Pelodiscus sinensis: one gene and its partner. The protein of the gene in region 2 interacts with the protein of the main gene of each other region in a biochemical or structural test. Links are inferred from orthologs where the notes say so. Each region holds a gene or a part of one and is shown on either strand. Other genes may lie near its edges. The genes, in order: CD2 antigen cytoplasmic tail-binding protein 2 and T-cell surface antigen CD2.

Region 1 (7,810 bases), on a different chromosome or scaffold from region 2:
CCACGCTCACCCCCCGCCCGTCAGCCCCGCCACGCTCACTCCCCGCCCGTCAGCCCCGCCACGCTCACCCCCTGCCCCCAGCCCCGCCACGCTCACCCCCTGCCCGTCAGCCCCGCCACGCTAACCCCCCGCCCGTCAGCCCCGCCACGCTCACTCCCCGCCCGTCAGCCCCGCCACGCTCACCCCCTGCCCCCAGCCCCGCCACGCTCGCCCCCTACCCGTCAGCCCCGCCACGCTAACCCCCCGCCCGTCAGCCCCGCCACGCTCACCCCCTACCCGTCAGCCCCGCCACGCTCACCCCCTACCCCCAGCCCCGCCACGCTCACCCCCCGCCCGTCAGCCCCGCCACGCTCACCCCCTACCCCCAGCATGCCACGCTAACCCCCCGCCCGTCAGCCCCGCCACGCTCACCCCCCGCCCGTCAGCCCCACCACGCTCACCCCCTACCCGTCAGCCCCGCCACGCTCACCCCCTACCCCCAGCCCCGCCACGCTCACCCCCCGCCTGTCAGCCCCGCCACGCTCACCCCCTGCCCGTCAGCCCCGCCACGCTCACCCCCTGCCCGTCAGCCCCGCCATGCTCACCCCCTACCCCCAGCCCCGCCACGCTCACTCCCCGCCCGTCAGCCCCGCCACGCTCACCCCCCGCCCGTCAGCCCCACCACGCTCACCCTCTGCCCACCAGCCCCGCCACATTCACCCTCTGCCCACCAGCCCCGCCACGCTCACCCCCTGCCCACCAGCCCCGCCACGCTCACCCCCTGGCCACCTGTCATCCCCGCCATGGTCATCCCCCTACTCCTCAGCTCCTCCATCCACGGTTATCACCTGCCCAGTCATCAGCCCCGCCACAGTCACCTGCTGCCCACCAGCCCCGCCACAGTTTGCTCCCTCAACACTACCCCACCAGTTTCCCTGCCTCCTGCCCCTGCCTCTGGAGACCCTGTGACCTGTCAGTCCCACCACTGTCTTCCCCACTTCCTACCCCTGGGAGACCCCCCTGCCCATCAGACCTGCTGCCATTTCCCCAACTTCATTACTACCCTGTCTCCCCTGCTCTGCACAGCCCCAGATTGGTCTACCGAGGCAGGACCCCCCACTTCTCCCCACAGGAGCACTCTCCAGCCCCCATTCTCCCCTCCTTCCCCCCGGATCATACACTCACCCCTCACCTGCCTCCCATCCTTCCCTTCTTCCCACCCACTCCCCAGGGTCCCCCTCCCCAGATCTTTGCCCACTCAGCTTGGTCTCCCCTGCCGAGGGTCTCACCCTCCACGTCCTCCGATGCCAGGATGTCGTATTTACTGGCCCGGCCGTCATCGCCCTCCTCATCCTCGTCTTCCTCGTCGCTGTCCAAGGAGTGTTTGCCCTTGAAGCGGCTCCCGGGGCCGCTGGCCCCCAGGCCAGGCTCTGCCAGCTGGGGAGAGAGGGAGACTTAGATTCCCTTGGTCATCCCAAAACACAGCACCTTGATGCAACAGGCCCCCCACTCACCAGCATCATCCTGAGACACCCAGGAGAACCCTCAAATACCCCATGGTCACACCCTCTCCAGCGACCCCCTCCAACTCCCAACAGAGACCTGTACCCTTCACCAGGGTACCTCCAGAGACCTCTCTCACGTCCCCACCCGCACAACAGGCCTCCCCTTTGTATCCCTCCCCCATGCCTCACTGCCCCACAGAGATCCCTCCCCACATCCCTGCCCTCATAACTCACCTTCTTCTTGGGCATGGCCAGCTCCTCCTCGTCCCCCTCCACCTGGTCCTCAAATGTCACCTTGCGCTTGGGCATGGTGGCCCGATGCTCTGGGGAGGGAGGTGAGTAAGGAAGGGGGCGTCCGCCGCTGCAGCCCCACACGACGGGCCCCGCTGCCCCTAGCACCTGCAGCCCCACACGACGGGCCCCGCGGCCCCTAGCACCCGCAGCCCCACACGACGGGCCCCGCGGCCCCTAGCACCTGCAGCCCCACACGACGGGCCCCGCGGCCCCTAGCACCTGCAGCCCCACACGACGGGCCCGCGGCCCCTAGCACCTGCAGCCCCACACGACGGGCCCCGCGGCCCCTAGCACCTGCAGCCCCACACGACGGGCCCCGCGGCCCCAGGCACCTGCAGCCCCACACGACGGGCCCCGCTGCCCCTAGCACCCGCAGCCCCACACGACGGGCCCCGCGGCCCCAGGCACCCGCAGCCCCACACGACGGGCCCCGCGGCCCCTAGCACCCGCAGCCCCACACGACGGGCCCCGCGGCCCCTAGCACCCGCAGCCCCACACGACGGGCCCCGCTGCCCCTAGCACCCGCAGCCCCACACGACGGGCCCCGCGGCCCCTAGCACCCGCAGCCCCACACGACGGGCCCCGCTGCCCCTAGCACCCGCAGCCCCACACGACGGGCCCCGCGGCCCCAGGCACCCGCAGCCCCACACGACGGGCCCCGCGGCCCCAGGCACCTGCAGCCCCACACGACGGGCCCCGCGGCCCCAGGCACCTGCAGCCCCACACGACGGGCCCCGCGGCCCCAGGCACCTGCAGCCCCACACGACGGGCCCCGCGGCCCCAGGCACCTGCAGCCCCACAGGCCAATGACACGCCAGAGACCCGGCCTCAGGCGAGGCGCCACCGGAGCATCCTCTCTGCGCCAGGCTGCAAACCCGCCCCGGGCACAACGTGCATTTGCATATGCAAATGAGCCCCCCAGGCCCCGCCCCGCAGGGACACGGGCCCAAACTCCAGCCTCGCAGCTTCCCAATTTGCATATGCAAATGACTCGCTTCCACCGTGCTGGGCGGGCCCAAGCGCTCGGTTCAGCCCAGCCAAGGGCCCCCCTGTGATGCCTAATTTGCATATGCAAATAAGATGCAATAGTCCGGCCCGGGGGAAATGCGCAGTACGGGTCCTGCCGCCTCATTTGCATATGCAAATCAGCCCGTTCGGCTCGGGCCGGGCGCCCCGGTACCAGCGGGACCCCAAGACCCTCACAGCCCCTCATTTGCATATGCAGATCAGCGCCCCCATCGGCTGCGCCACTCACTCACCTCCGGGGCTCGCAGAGCGCCCTCGCGCGGCAGCCACTTCCGGGTCACTCTGCCCGGATGTGACGTCGCCGCAGGCCCTCGCCCCGCCTCTCGCGCCGGGTTGATCTCGTTCGGGCGAATAGCGCGATAGGTGACGTCACAATGGCACCTGAGCGAGGGCCCCCCATCGCGCAGGAGCCCAACGGCGGGTTGGCGGAGGGGCCGGAAGTGACGTTTTCTCCGGGCAGCCACCGCTAGCTGCGGCTTCATTGGCTGCCGTGCGGAGCGGGAGTCATGGCAACGCTTAAAGGGGCAGCAAGCGCCCCGCCCCCCCCCCCCCCAGCACCTCGGGTCTGACGGGACAGGCCCAGGGCATAGGCCCCTCCCCCTCCACGGGGCCACGCCCCCTGCGCCCCCCCCGGCAGGCGCACCGGCCCCCCCTGTTTTCCGGGGGGGGGGCAAGGGGCCCGGCCCCTCGTGTTTCACCGGGGGGGGGGGGCGAGTGGGGCCCTGCCCCCCCCCGCGAACCCGGGTCGCCTTAGGACCGAGCGGAGCCGGCCGCGCCCTGGCTGCCGCGAGACACTTCCGGGGGGCGGGGCCGGGAGGGAGCAGCCGCGCGGGCAGAGCCGGGCAGGAGCCAGGTAACGAGCCCGGGCGGGGAGCGGCCCCCCCCCTCCCCGAGCCCCCCCCCCCCCCGAGCTGAGCCCCCCCGCCCCCAGGCCCGGGCCCCGCCCCCCCCCCGAGCTAAGCCCCCCCGCCCCGAGCCCCGCCCCCCCGCGCTGAGCCCCCCGAGCCCCGCCCCCCCGCGCTGAGCCCTGTGCCCTGCCCTGGGCTCCCGTGCTGAGTCCCCCGCCCCGAACCCCCCGTCTCAGGCCCCGCCCCGAGCCCCGCCCCCCCTGAGCTGAGCCCCCCGCCCCGAGCCCCGCCCCCCCCCGCCCCGAGCCCCCCCCGCGCCGAGCCCCGAGCCCCCCAGGCCCGGGCCCCGCCCCCCCCGCCCCGAGCCCCGCCCCCCCGAGCTGAGCCCCGCCCTGGGCTCCCGTGCTGAGTCCCCCGCCCCGAACCCCCCGCCCTGCGCCCCGCCCCCCCCGACTTGCCCCGCCCCGAGCCCCCCTTGCTGAGCCTCCCGCCCTGGCCCCCTAGGCCCGGGCCCCGCCCTGCGCCCCGCTCCCCTTGCCCTGCCCTGGGCCCTCTGCGCTGGGCCCCCTGAGCCAGCCTTGCCCTGAACTCCGGGCCCCCAGCCCTGGGCCCCATGTCCCGTTCCCTGCCCTGGGGCTGGGGCCCTGCCCGGGAAAGGCCCCACGTCCCGTTCCCTGCCCTGGGGCCCCCTGCCCGGGAAAGGCCCCACATCCCGTTCCCTGCCCTGGGGCTGGGCCCCTGCCCGGGAAAGGCCCCATATCCCGTTCCCTGCCCTGGGGCTGGGGCTGGGGCTGGGCCCCCTGCCCGGGAAAGGCCCCACATCCCGTTCCCTGCCCTGGGGCTGGGCCCCTGCCCGGGAAAGGCCCCACATCCCGTTCCCTGCCCTGGGGCTGGGCCCCCTGCCCGGGAAAGGCCCCACATCCCGTTCCCTGCCCTGGGGCTGGGCCCCTGCCCGGGAAAGGCCCCACGTCCCGTTCCCTGCCCTGGGGCTGGGGCTGGGGCTGGGCCCCCTGCCCGGGAAAGGCCCCACGTCCCGTTCCCTGCCCTGGGGCTGGGCCCCTGCCCGGGAAAGGCCCCACGTCCCGTTCCCTGCCCTGGGGCCCTGCCCGGGAAAGGCCCCACGTCCCGTTCCCTGCCCTGGGGCTGGGCCCCTGCCCGGGAAAGGCCCCACGTCCCGTTCCCTGCCCTGGGGCCCTGCCCGGGAAAGGCCCCACGTCCCGTTCCCTGCCCTGGGGCTGGGCCCCTGCCCGGGAAAGGCCCCACGTCCCGTTCCCTGCCCTGGGGCCCTGCCCGGGAAAGGCCCCACGTCCCGTTCCCTGCCCTGGGGCTGGGCCCCTGCCCGGGAAAGGCCCCACGTCCCGTTCCCTGCCCTGGGGCCCTGCCCGGGAAAGGCCCCACGTCCCGTTCCCTGCCCTGGGGATGGGCCCCTGCCCGGGAAAGGCCCCATATCCCGTTCCCTGCCCTGGGGCTGGGGCCCTGCCCGGGAAAGGCCCCACGTCCCGTTCCCTGCCCTGGGGCTGGGCCCCTGCCCGGGAAAGGCCCCACGTCCCGTTCCCTGCCCTGGGGCTGGGGCCCTGCCCGGGAAAGGCCCCACGTCCTGTTCCCTGTCTCCCCTCTCTCAGGTCCCTGCCCACATGAAGTTGCATGAAACCGGCGTCCTGGGCTACTCCCGCGTGGCAGTGCCCCCCGACCGCCAGGGCCGGCTGTACAAGAAGAGCGAACGCAGCAGCACCTACCAGCGCCGCTGGTGCGAACTGCGAGGGAACTTGCTCTTCTACTGGGAGCGGCAGGGGGACCGGGAGCCGCTGGGGCTGATCCTGCTGGAGGGCTGCACGGTGGAGCTACAGGAATCCGCCACAGAGCCTTTCACCTTTGAAATCTCCTACCGGTCGGGCCACCGAGCTTACAAGATGGCTGCCGAAGACCAGGCCTCCATGGAGGGCTGGGTACGGGCTCTGAGCACGGCCAGCTTTGACTACCTGCGGGCTCTGGTGACTGAGCTAGAGGGACAGTACCGGGCCAATGGGGTTGCCCCGCCAAAGGAATGGGCTGTTCAGCACCGCCCAGTGGTGTCAGCGGTGGGATTGCCAGACTTTGAGGGGCTGCACCAGCAGTTTGGGAAGGAGATTGTGAAGCTGCGGGCGAAGTGGAAGGAGGCCAGGGCAGAAGGGACCCAGCCAACACAGGGAGACCTGATTGATTTGGGGTAGGACGGGAGCAGGGAAAGGAGAAGAGCCAGAGGGGGTAGGGGAGTCCTATTCCATGCCATCCAATGCAGGAGAAACATGCAGTGTGGGGGACCCAGGGTGGGCTAGCAGGGGCTGCAAGCTCAGCTCAAGGGACAGACAGAATGGGAAGGGGCCGTGTCTGGCTTGGATGGACTAGAAACCCTCCCCCCCGGGTTAAGGAGGCAGAGATGCTCCCTCTGCCTTGCGGTTCTTCGGGAAGTGGGGACCTTTCAAGGCCAAACCTTTGCACTGAGGCGATGCTTTTCCAATAATAAACGTGTTCTGTCGGGGCCTGGGCTCAGCCACGTGAATTCACTGTTTGGTCACCTCTGGCCAGCAGTGGGGGGCGCTGAGTGCAGGGGGCAGGGCAACGGCTGGGGCAGGGGAGCTCCTGGCTACTCCAGCGGGTGCTGTGCGGAACAAACGTCCTGCCTGCCCGGTGAGAGCTCCCCCCACTGCTGCACTGGGCTCAACTTGTGGGTCTGAGAAATCCCCATTCATTCAGCCAAAGGAGGCTCTCGGGCCACAGGGACAGGCAAAGCAGGAAACGCTCCATCAGGGCCCTGCCTGCGGCTCTGACCGCCTTCAACAACCGTTTCCTGCCCTAGGAGATCAGCCAGGCTCCTGCTGCCCTCACCCAACCTCCACTGGCGCAGCACACACCGTCCAGGCTTCGCCCCTCCAGCATGCAGAGCCTGGTCCCCCGTGGCCACTGCTCCGCCACTAACCCCAGTGAGCCGGGAATAGAGCCCAGGAGTCCTGGCTCTCACTAGCCTCAGAGTGGCCCTCAGGGAACTGAGGCTCATCTCAGGCCAGTGCCCCATACCCCCAAGACCAGAACCCAGTGGTGTGGATACTGGGGGTCTCCATTTCCAGGCAGGCTGCGTGATTCACCCTGTGGCGGGACAAGGGGGTGAGTCTGCAGAGACCCCCTAGCCCAGCCCGCCTCTACTAGCGTCTTGGGCCCAACCAACAGGCAGCCAGTGGTACCTGGCAACCGCTGAGCCTGCACTGGCAGGAAGCTGGCCCATTCTGACCCGCTGGAAAGCAAAGCTTGGGGCTGGGGCCCCTACCCCTGGGGCTGGGGCCCCTACCCCTGGGGCAGAGACCTAGGGGCTGGGGCTGGCTGGAACATCCTGCTTTCTACGCTGATCCAGACTGGCAGACGTCCCTGAAGGGAGCTCGCAGTGTGGAACGGGTGCTGACAGCTCTGAGGCAGGGCCCGCAGGGTGTACCCTAGGAGAGTGCCACACGAGGCAGCCTAGCCACGATCCACTCCGGGCTGCTCCAGAGCACAAAGCCTATTCATCTGGGACACCCTCACCCCTTTCAAGGGGCAGAGACCCCCCCCCCCCCAGACCAAGGACTCAAAGGCCCTCAACCCAGCGATCTTCAGAGACGCAGCACCCCAACCCATGTTCCCTCTCATCCCCCCGGGCGGAATAGGTGTTCTCTGCACTGAGACCTGTGAAACGTGCACCACCAGGAGAAGCAGGCTGCCGGCCATGGGTGCTCTGCTAATCCGCTGGGCAGCATCTGAAACCCTCCTGGGTGGCCTCCCACGCACCCAGCCACTGAGCAGCAAAGAGCCACGCTCCCCTCCCCGAGGGTTCTCAGATCTAAAGGCCAGTGGCCTTGGAAGAACAGCCCCCGACTGATGCTTCTCAGAGACCTGCAGCCCGGAGCCCCTGGAAGAGCCAGACTAGCCCCATAGTACTAGAGATGCAGCCGTGAGAGTCTGAAACACCAGCCAGGGCTGTGCGGCACTTTACAGACTAACAAGATGGTTTATTAGGTGACGCCTGCATCCTGCTTCAAAGACATTAACACCAGACTTGAAAGAGAAACCTCGGAACTGTCATTCATGCTTCAATTCGACACTTTACGCTGGGGTCTTAACAAAGACATTAATTATCTTACCCATTCCAAA
Region 2 (7,115 bases):
TCCTTTAAGTGTTTCTTTCAGTCTAGGTGTCTCACCAACTGCTTTAATACAAATATATTAACTCCTACATTTATTGGTTCTATATGTTGGTATAATACAAAATGTGCATGAATATTCTGCATGGTTGCATTATGTAACATGAAGTCAATATCACATCTTTGTATACTATATATATAGAACATAGGAATTATGATCTATTCTGTAGAAGAAATTTACCAAAAATTCAGTACACCAGTTATGGATACATTAATAATTAGCATTCATTAAAACTATTGCTGAGTGAGTGTTACCATTGGCCTGGAAGCAATAATGGCATTACCTTGGTGGAAGTCTAAACAAACATGGGCCCCTTCTGTGCTTCCAGATGTACAGGAGTAACCAATAGCTTTTTCTCATGCACACAAATGTAAGTTGACACTGCTATATCTTTTGTCACTTTTATAAACCCATTTTAGGGATGTCAATGGGAGTCATCATTGAACCATTGACGTTGAGGACCAAGGGAATTAGAGGGAATAGCCATTTATGATGGTAAGTATATAGGTGTTCTGGTACATCAGGGCCAGGGAGTAGTGAGAGAGTGCTAGAGGAGAGATATGTGAGCACTAGGCGAATTAAGGCATGGTTCACTATGGACTAGGGAAGGCTAATTGAAGCACCTGTAACCAGTTAAGGCCCTGTCAGGAACCTAATTAGAATGCTGTATCACATTAATGTGTGACTCCTTGTAGACTAGTGAAGGTTACTGCAGGCCAATTGAAGCACCTGTAACCAATTAAGCCCCTATCAGGAATCTAATAACCCCTGGCCCGTGATTCAAGGCAGACAGTGTGGAGTGAGGAAGAAGAGAGCACTGGAGTTTGGAGCTGTGTTGCTGAGACTTAAAAGGAAGGAAGACCCTGTCCCAACACATTGGGGGATTCCCTCCGCCAGCCTCAAGGACAGAGGGTAACCCTAATCAAGGGGGAAGAGAATAAGAAACTTGCAGGGATTGAGAGGGGCTGAGGCTCAGACCCAGACTTTTTCCTTGCTTCCCTTCTCTACCACCTTCCTGTGCCACTAGCTGGGACATTAGAGCAGGGACAATGGGTGATAACCTAGCCCCGCACCAAAAATAGCACAGGAGCCATCATACTATGATGTTGAGGGTGAGATTTTTGTGCTGAGAATATAACACAGGGTAGGTCATGACCAATCTATCCCCAAGCTGGAGGAATGGTCGAAGCACTGGTGCAAGCCACCACTACCCAGCAGGAGACTGTGCAGCACCAGCCAGGATCAGGCCATACTATAGGAACTAGTAAACCAGGTAAAGGATGTTAGAAAGATGAGCCGTGGCTATGAAGGGATTATACAGGCTAGCTACTGTCTACAGAAAACAACACAGGAGGAGGAGGTGATGGGGCACTTCCTGACCTCTGAGAGAACAGCCTTGTGGTTGGGCATCCTCACCCCCTACTTGTGCAGGGAGGCCCAGAAGGCGTACTATGATATGACCACAGAGGAGTTGGCAGACTACCCCCCCAGCTAAAGGCAGAGATTCTGGCCAGCTCCAAGGTAACGACAATTGCTCTGGTTGGTAGGCAGCACCGTCAGGGAAACTGCAAGGTAGCACAAACCGGTGGAAACCTAGAGACAGCTCCCAGCGCAAGCTGAAGTATTCCAAGGTCTGGAGGGGAGACCAATCCAATAGAATCAAGCCAGGTCAGTCCTGCACATGAGTGTTTGGGTGGGACTAAGCCTATGACCACCCACTGTATGCTAATGCCGTATCATAGTGATCTGTTTGGGAGACATTTAGGAGCAGCTAAGACTGGGTAGAGTCCTAAGGAGATTATACTGGCTGGGTGCATAAGCAAAAGTCCAGGCAGTGTTATTAGACTGAGGCAAAAGAAAGGAAAGACAAAGAGCATGGGGGGGAAAGTACACCTGTGGGAGACAATATGACAGCAGGAATCAACATCTCAGGTGCTGTTTGGGATATAGATAAAACCCTGGTGCAAGATCTGAGGGTTTTTTCTGCAGCCATCTTAGGAAAGCAGCAGCCATGAACAAAGAAACAGGAAGTGACGTCCTCACATTCCATCTGTCTTAGTCAAGGTAGCTCTGCCCTTTGCTACACGGCTGTGAATCTGTTGTTATAAAGGTAGCTAAAAGCAAATCTTTAAACTGCCTGGTCACCAGTCGCTGATAAGACTATGGGCTGTGTTCATTTTACTCCATGTTGTAAGGGAAAGTCAACACCTGAGACAGAAATCATATTTTCTATATTTTGTATTCTTTTCTCTCCCCTTTTGTGTATACATTAGTTCAGTTTTGGTTTGAAGGAAGCAGGATCAGATTCTAGCAACTTCAACTAACTTTTCCTCCTTTCCCCCAAAAGACATTGTTCCCATTGTTAATACCACCACTGTCAGATGAGGGAGAGGGAGAGGGAGAGCTTTCCTTATAAAAAGTAGCTACAATGAAAGGGAATAAGCAATATGGTTAAAAGAAAAGTCTCACCAAAGGCCAGGACTATGCTAATGGATTACTTTGCTGTAAATACATTGCTCAGGGATATGAGAAATCCCCACCCTGAGCAACAAAGTTACATTGACCTAAGCGCTGGGGTAGTGTAGCCAGATAGAACCCCCCCACCCCTCCCCTTCTCCCTCTGACATCCTTGGGAGAGAGAATCCTTGAGAGTGAAACTCTGTCTTCAAAGGCTCCAGGGCCTTCAGAGGTGACAATGGCTCTGGATGCTAGAAAGGAACCAGATAACAGGGCAATTGGTCCAGCAGGCGATCGGGGCCTCGAGCTGCCCTTGGCTAGTACCAGTATTGATACGCCTACACACACCGTCCTAGAAGAGGAATCTGCTGCCCCATCAGAAAGAATGTCCGGCCCTAATGATTTAGTTACCTCCACCTCACAGGTGCAAATTAAGCTTTGGACCCCCTGTGGGAATGGGCGTCACAAAGACGTTCCAACTTAATTGGCATTTTAATGACAAGAAAAGCGTCTACGTGACCACAGGGGTATAAAGTTGGGCCCTGTGCTCCACTCTAATTGGAGATCCACCCATATACCTGCTGGTCAGGCGGTCTTGGACCCCTGAGACTTTAGAGACGCCTTCATCTCGTATCGACTGCTTCCCATTGGGATTGAGAGAAGCGCTGGCTTCACCGGAGCAAGGATCGCAGGGGTGAGAATATACCTGCTAGGTGTTTATTTTTGCGTGCATTCAATAAGAGCTCAGAGAAGCAAAAGGATTCCATGGTACCTTTAAGTGACTGTTATTGTATTTTCTGTCTTGTCTTTGTAGTGGCTGCGTTATCTGCAATGCAGCAGTAACATTTAACAGCTAAGCTTGCCTTGTAACAATAAAATAGTAACTGTTTAAACTTTTAACCTGACTCCTCCTGTTGCTGTAACAGAACCAAACACAATAAAAAAGAACCATAGCCAGTCAGGGGTAAATGCAGTAAGAGCTGAGCGTTGAGTTGTGCCGCCTCCACAGGGCAGACTCTTGGGGCGCCCGTCAGCCTCCCTGGCTGCCCGCTGCAAAGTGACTCTGTCCTAGCAGTCAAAGACTCGGGTGTGATAGGACTCACAGACCACTCATTATCCCGGCCACCGGCTAACAGGTAGACAGCATTATGTCAGTAGGAGAGCTTCTCCCACCAACATGCCTGCTGCCTCTCGCAGGGGTGGATGAACTGTGCCGACAGGCGAGCTCTCTCCCATTGGCACCGAGCATCTTCACTAACATGCTGTGGAGATGCAGTTGCATCAGTGTAGCTTTGTGGATGCAGCGTTGCAAGTGTAGACCTGCCTTCCCGCTTTTAAATTTGAAAAATTGTAACCAATCTTTTCCTCCTTTTTCTGTGCTTTCAACAAAGCTTGCATAGAACTGCTAATTACAGGTGACCTGCATAAAGTCTGGAGTTCAGTCTCTGTTCAAAAGCCTCTCAAAGTTCAAATTCTTGTTTGAAGCTACTTTGAAGCTTCTGTTATCTACACAAAACACGTCCTCTAAACAGACTTCAGCAAATTCTTAAACTGCTGGCTAGTCCCTGAAGATCCTGGAGAGAGAAAGCTGGTTGCTGGGCCCTCTTTCATTCTCACCCAACAAGACCTCCCAAAGCAGGTCAAATGTGGCAGCAGAAGAATAGTAAGGCTTCCTCACATCTCTTCCTCTGGGATATGGATGAAGAAGCAATCAAGGTCCTTCTCTGAACATCGAAGGAAGATGTGGCTCAGGTTCTGTTCTCAAGTTGGACAAAATTGGGGGTTAATTCTGATGTTTGAGACATTTACTTTCCTAGTCCCTGCAAGTTGTCCCTCAATCTTGGACAGAGTACCAGATTCACTCCGTTCACGTGTGTGACAGAAATGAGACGTGTCACAGCGAGCAAGAGGAGGAGGGGACAAGAGGTGCAAGGGCTATGCTGACACACTGAAAGACTGCTGATCATAATAGAACTTCATCTGTCTGGCTAGGAGCTTTCTTCACGCAGGGATAGTTTGGAGCTAGGATTTTGAAAATGAGCATTAGGGGGATTTTATTAGCCAAGTGCCTGGTGGTGTTGTTCTTCTGTGTAACAGGTGAGTTTGCACCGGCTTTTTGCTCTTTCAGGCTGGCTTTGCTTAAACTTTGCACTTCAAAGCATTTTTAACTGCAGTAGATTAACACCCATTCCTTGTACCCAGAAAAGGATGCTGGACTTCTTAACAGGGTGATGAATTAGACCCATCTATGCCACAATTCTAATTGACTCTGGGATCCAGTTACAATATGACCACTTTTTTAAGTTGGATGGGACCTATAACTGGCTCCAGGGGTTTCACCCAGTTATGAGAATTTGGGGTCACGGCATATTTTAAGCCTTTTCCCCTGACTCAGTGATAGTTCATGAGCAAATTATTACCAATATGTTTTAGATTATTTCTTCAGTAGTGTTTTTAATATAGAAATGTGTTATCAAAACTAAACATGACCGATTCCTACCTCTGCCAAACACCCTCTATATAATGCTAAATAGGGAAGCTTGGGGCAGGACGGGTGATCCGATAAAAATGCTTCGCTCTAACTTACATATCATGGGCCACATTCTTCCCCTGGTATAACTCTGCCGAAAGCAGAAATGAATTTGTCCCCTGGTCTGTACGAGGGTATTGCTATTGTTACAGCAAGTGCAGGGCAAATAAATCATTTAAAGGGCCCCCCCAAACTGTACCTAGCCCTTGTGAAGATCAGATATTTGAGGACCTGGCAATGGGGACTTTTAGGGTAAAATTCTGGCCCTGATCCTTTGCCATTGACTTTAAGAGAGCCAAGATTTCATCCTCAAACCCTTAGGGCTCAATACAGCCAAGTTATCAGTACTCTGTCCCCAGTCCAGGCAAAGTGCTTAAGAACATGCTTCACTTTAGGCATGCGAGTTGTCCCTTTGACTTCAAAAGAACTATTCACGTGCTTAGATTGAAACATGTACTCAAATGCTTTGCTGTTGGGGACAGAATGCTCAGCTCCTGGTAGGATCAAGCACTGCCCTAACTTTTCCCATTGGTAAAATGGAGATAATGATATTAACTTACCTTAGAAAAGTGCTTTAAGATCTTGTGACTATTAGTATTTTATTTAGCCTTCAGTCCATGGGAACCCATAACCTATGGTTGCTATTATAATTTTTGTAATAATACACTGTAAATGATTTTATCTTCAAGTTAACAATTCTTTGTAAATGATTTTATCTTCAAGTTAACAATTCTTTATCTGATAGGTAGGTGTAAGCATGGAGTTTTATCTGATGTCCTCAGTGAAACACTTTTTTGCAATCCTCTTCAAGAGAGACTTCACTGTGCATCATGTAGATCTGTTGCTCTTTTCTAGAAAATAACATTTTATTAAAGAGAAACAAAATTGTAGACAGTGCAAGTATTTTTACACATGAATGTTGATAGAAAGGATGATATATACAAATAATTATATAGCTCAGTGGAGTTAATCTTATTTGTAAGTTACATTAGGGACATACTTATTGGTATTTAACCTTTTAAAAAGACTTGGATCTAAAAATGTAGTTGTAATTTGTAAACTAAAATCATAACAAGAAATAGTGGATCCAGTACACAAGAATCATTAATGAATGATGTGAATAAATCCAACAGTAGATTATTTATGATGGCTGTTTAATATTTTCTATATAGAATTACTAGATAAATAGGGAGTATGTTGTTGCTATGGACTTAAAACATATATTTCCTTGAATGGCTTTATTTGTTTCAAGTGCTTGACACTTGAAAAGTGAGTGCTTCTTTTCTCAGACGGGTAAAGTTACTGTAAGCACTGCTCCTTTTAGTTTAGTGCATATGCTACAAGACTACAAGAGAGCAGTTTGTAGCTAGATTCTCATCACTTGGTCCTTGGCAGAAGTATTTCAGTTGGCATGATCACAAATATTGTTTCATTGTCCAGACAGATGACTTACTGTTGTCTGGGATGTTCAGGCTTCTGTTCCAATGATATGGGAGACCAAGCAAACTTTAAAGCAAACTTTTAAAGACCTATCAGAATTGTCTGTCAATTAGAATACCATTTGAGCTTTCCTTCCTCAGGATTTTGATCAACCTTTTCCTCTTTGCCACATGCAAAATATAAATATATTATTATAGAATTTGCAATAGAAATAATGACTAATAATCACTCAAATCTCTGGGAGTAATTCTGAGGAATTGCAAGTATCTAAATTAAATGTATGTTTATTTGTTTAAAAAAAGTTTTACAAAGATTTTTGGTGCTCCTGTTAACACTTATTGGGGAATGAATAGTATTAAAATAGTTCCACTTCCAGGAGTGAGTGATTTCTGAATGTTCCATTAGGAATGCCAAATGCTTTTTAAGAAACTTGATAGCACAATAATAGCTTACCTTTGAGATGGTGCATGCATTACAGGAAACTCTTCAATGTCTCACAGGCTGTCCCTCTCATTATTTTTCTGCACAATCATGTATTCTAATTTTTTGATTTGACTCCAATATTACTATTGAACAAAGCAGTGATTATTTTTCAGTTTTCATCTCTTTTATATATTTTATCCTATCCTAGATATAATGAAATTTGTATAAT

Evidence for each region.
Region 1: the proteins of T-cell surface antigen CD2 (region 2) and CD2 antigen cytoplasmic tail-binding protein 2 interact in a biophysical measurement, tested with the Homo sapiens proteins (6 studies listed by BioGRID and IntAct, with this or other methods). The link is inferred for Pelodiscus sinensis from reciprocal best matches to the Homo sapiens genes CD2 and CD2BP2.

The regions. Positions count from the first base shown.
Region 1 is NC_134714.1:134,633,324-134,641,133, reverse strand, and holds the start of CD2 antigen cytoplasmic tail-binding protein 2, read right to left. Parts: upstream 3,214-7,810; 5' UTR 3,038-3,213; intron 1,808-3,037; 5' UTR 1,794-1,807; coding exon 1,719-1,793; intron 1,417-1,718; coding exon 1,269-1,416; intron 1-1,268. Other genes in the region: sesquipedalian-1-like, read left to right, coding at 5,287-5,862. UniProt on the Homo sapiens protein: Involved in pre-mRNA splicing as component of the U5 snRNP complex that is involved in spliceosome assembly.
Region 2 is NC_134711.1:162,237,145-162,244,259, forward strand, and holds the start of T-cell surface antigen CD2, read left to right. Parts: upstream 1-3,871; 5' UTR 3,872-4,529; coding exon 4,530-4,590; intron 4,591-5,752; exon of another isoform or gene 5,753-5,874; intron 5,875-6,916; exon of another isoform or gene 6,917-7,029; intron 7,030-7,115. UniProt on the Homo sapiens protein: CD2 interacts with lymphocyte function-associated antigen CD58 (LFA-3) and CD48/BCM1 to mediate adhesion between T-cells and other cell types. CD2 is implicated in the triggering of T-cells, the cytoplasmic domain is implicated in the signaling function.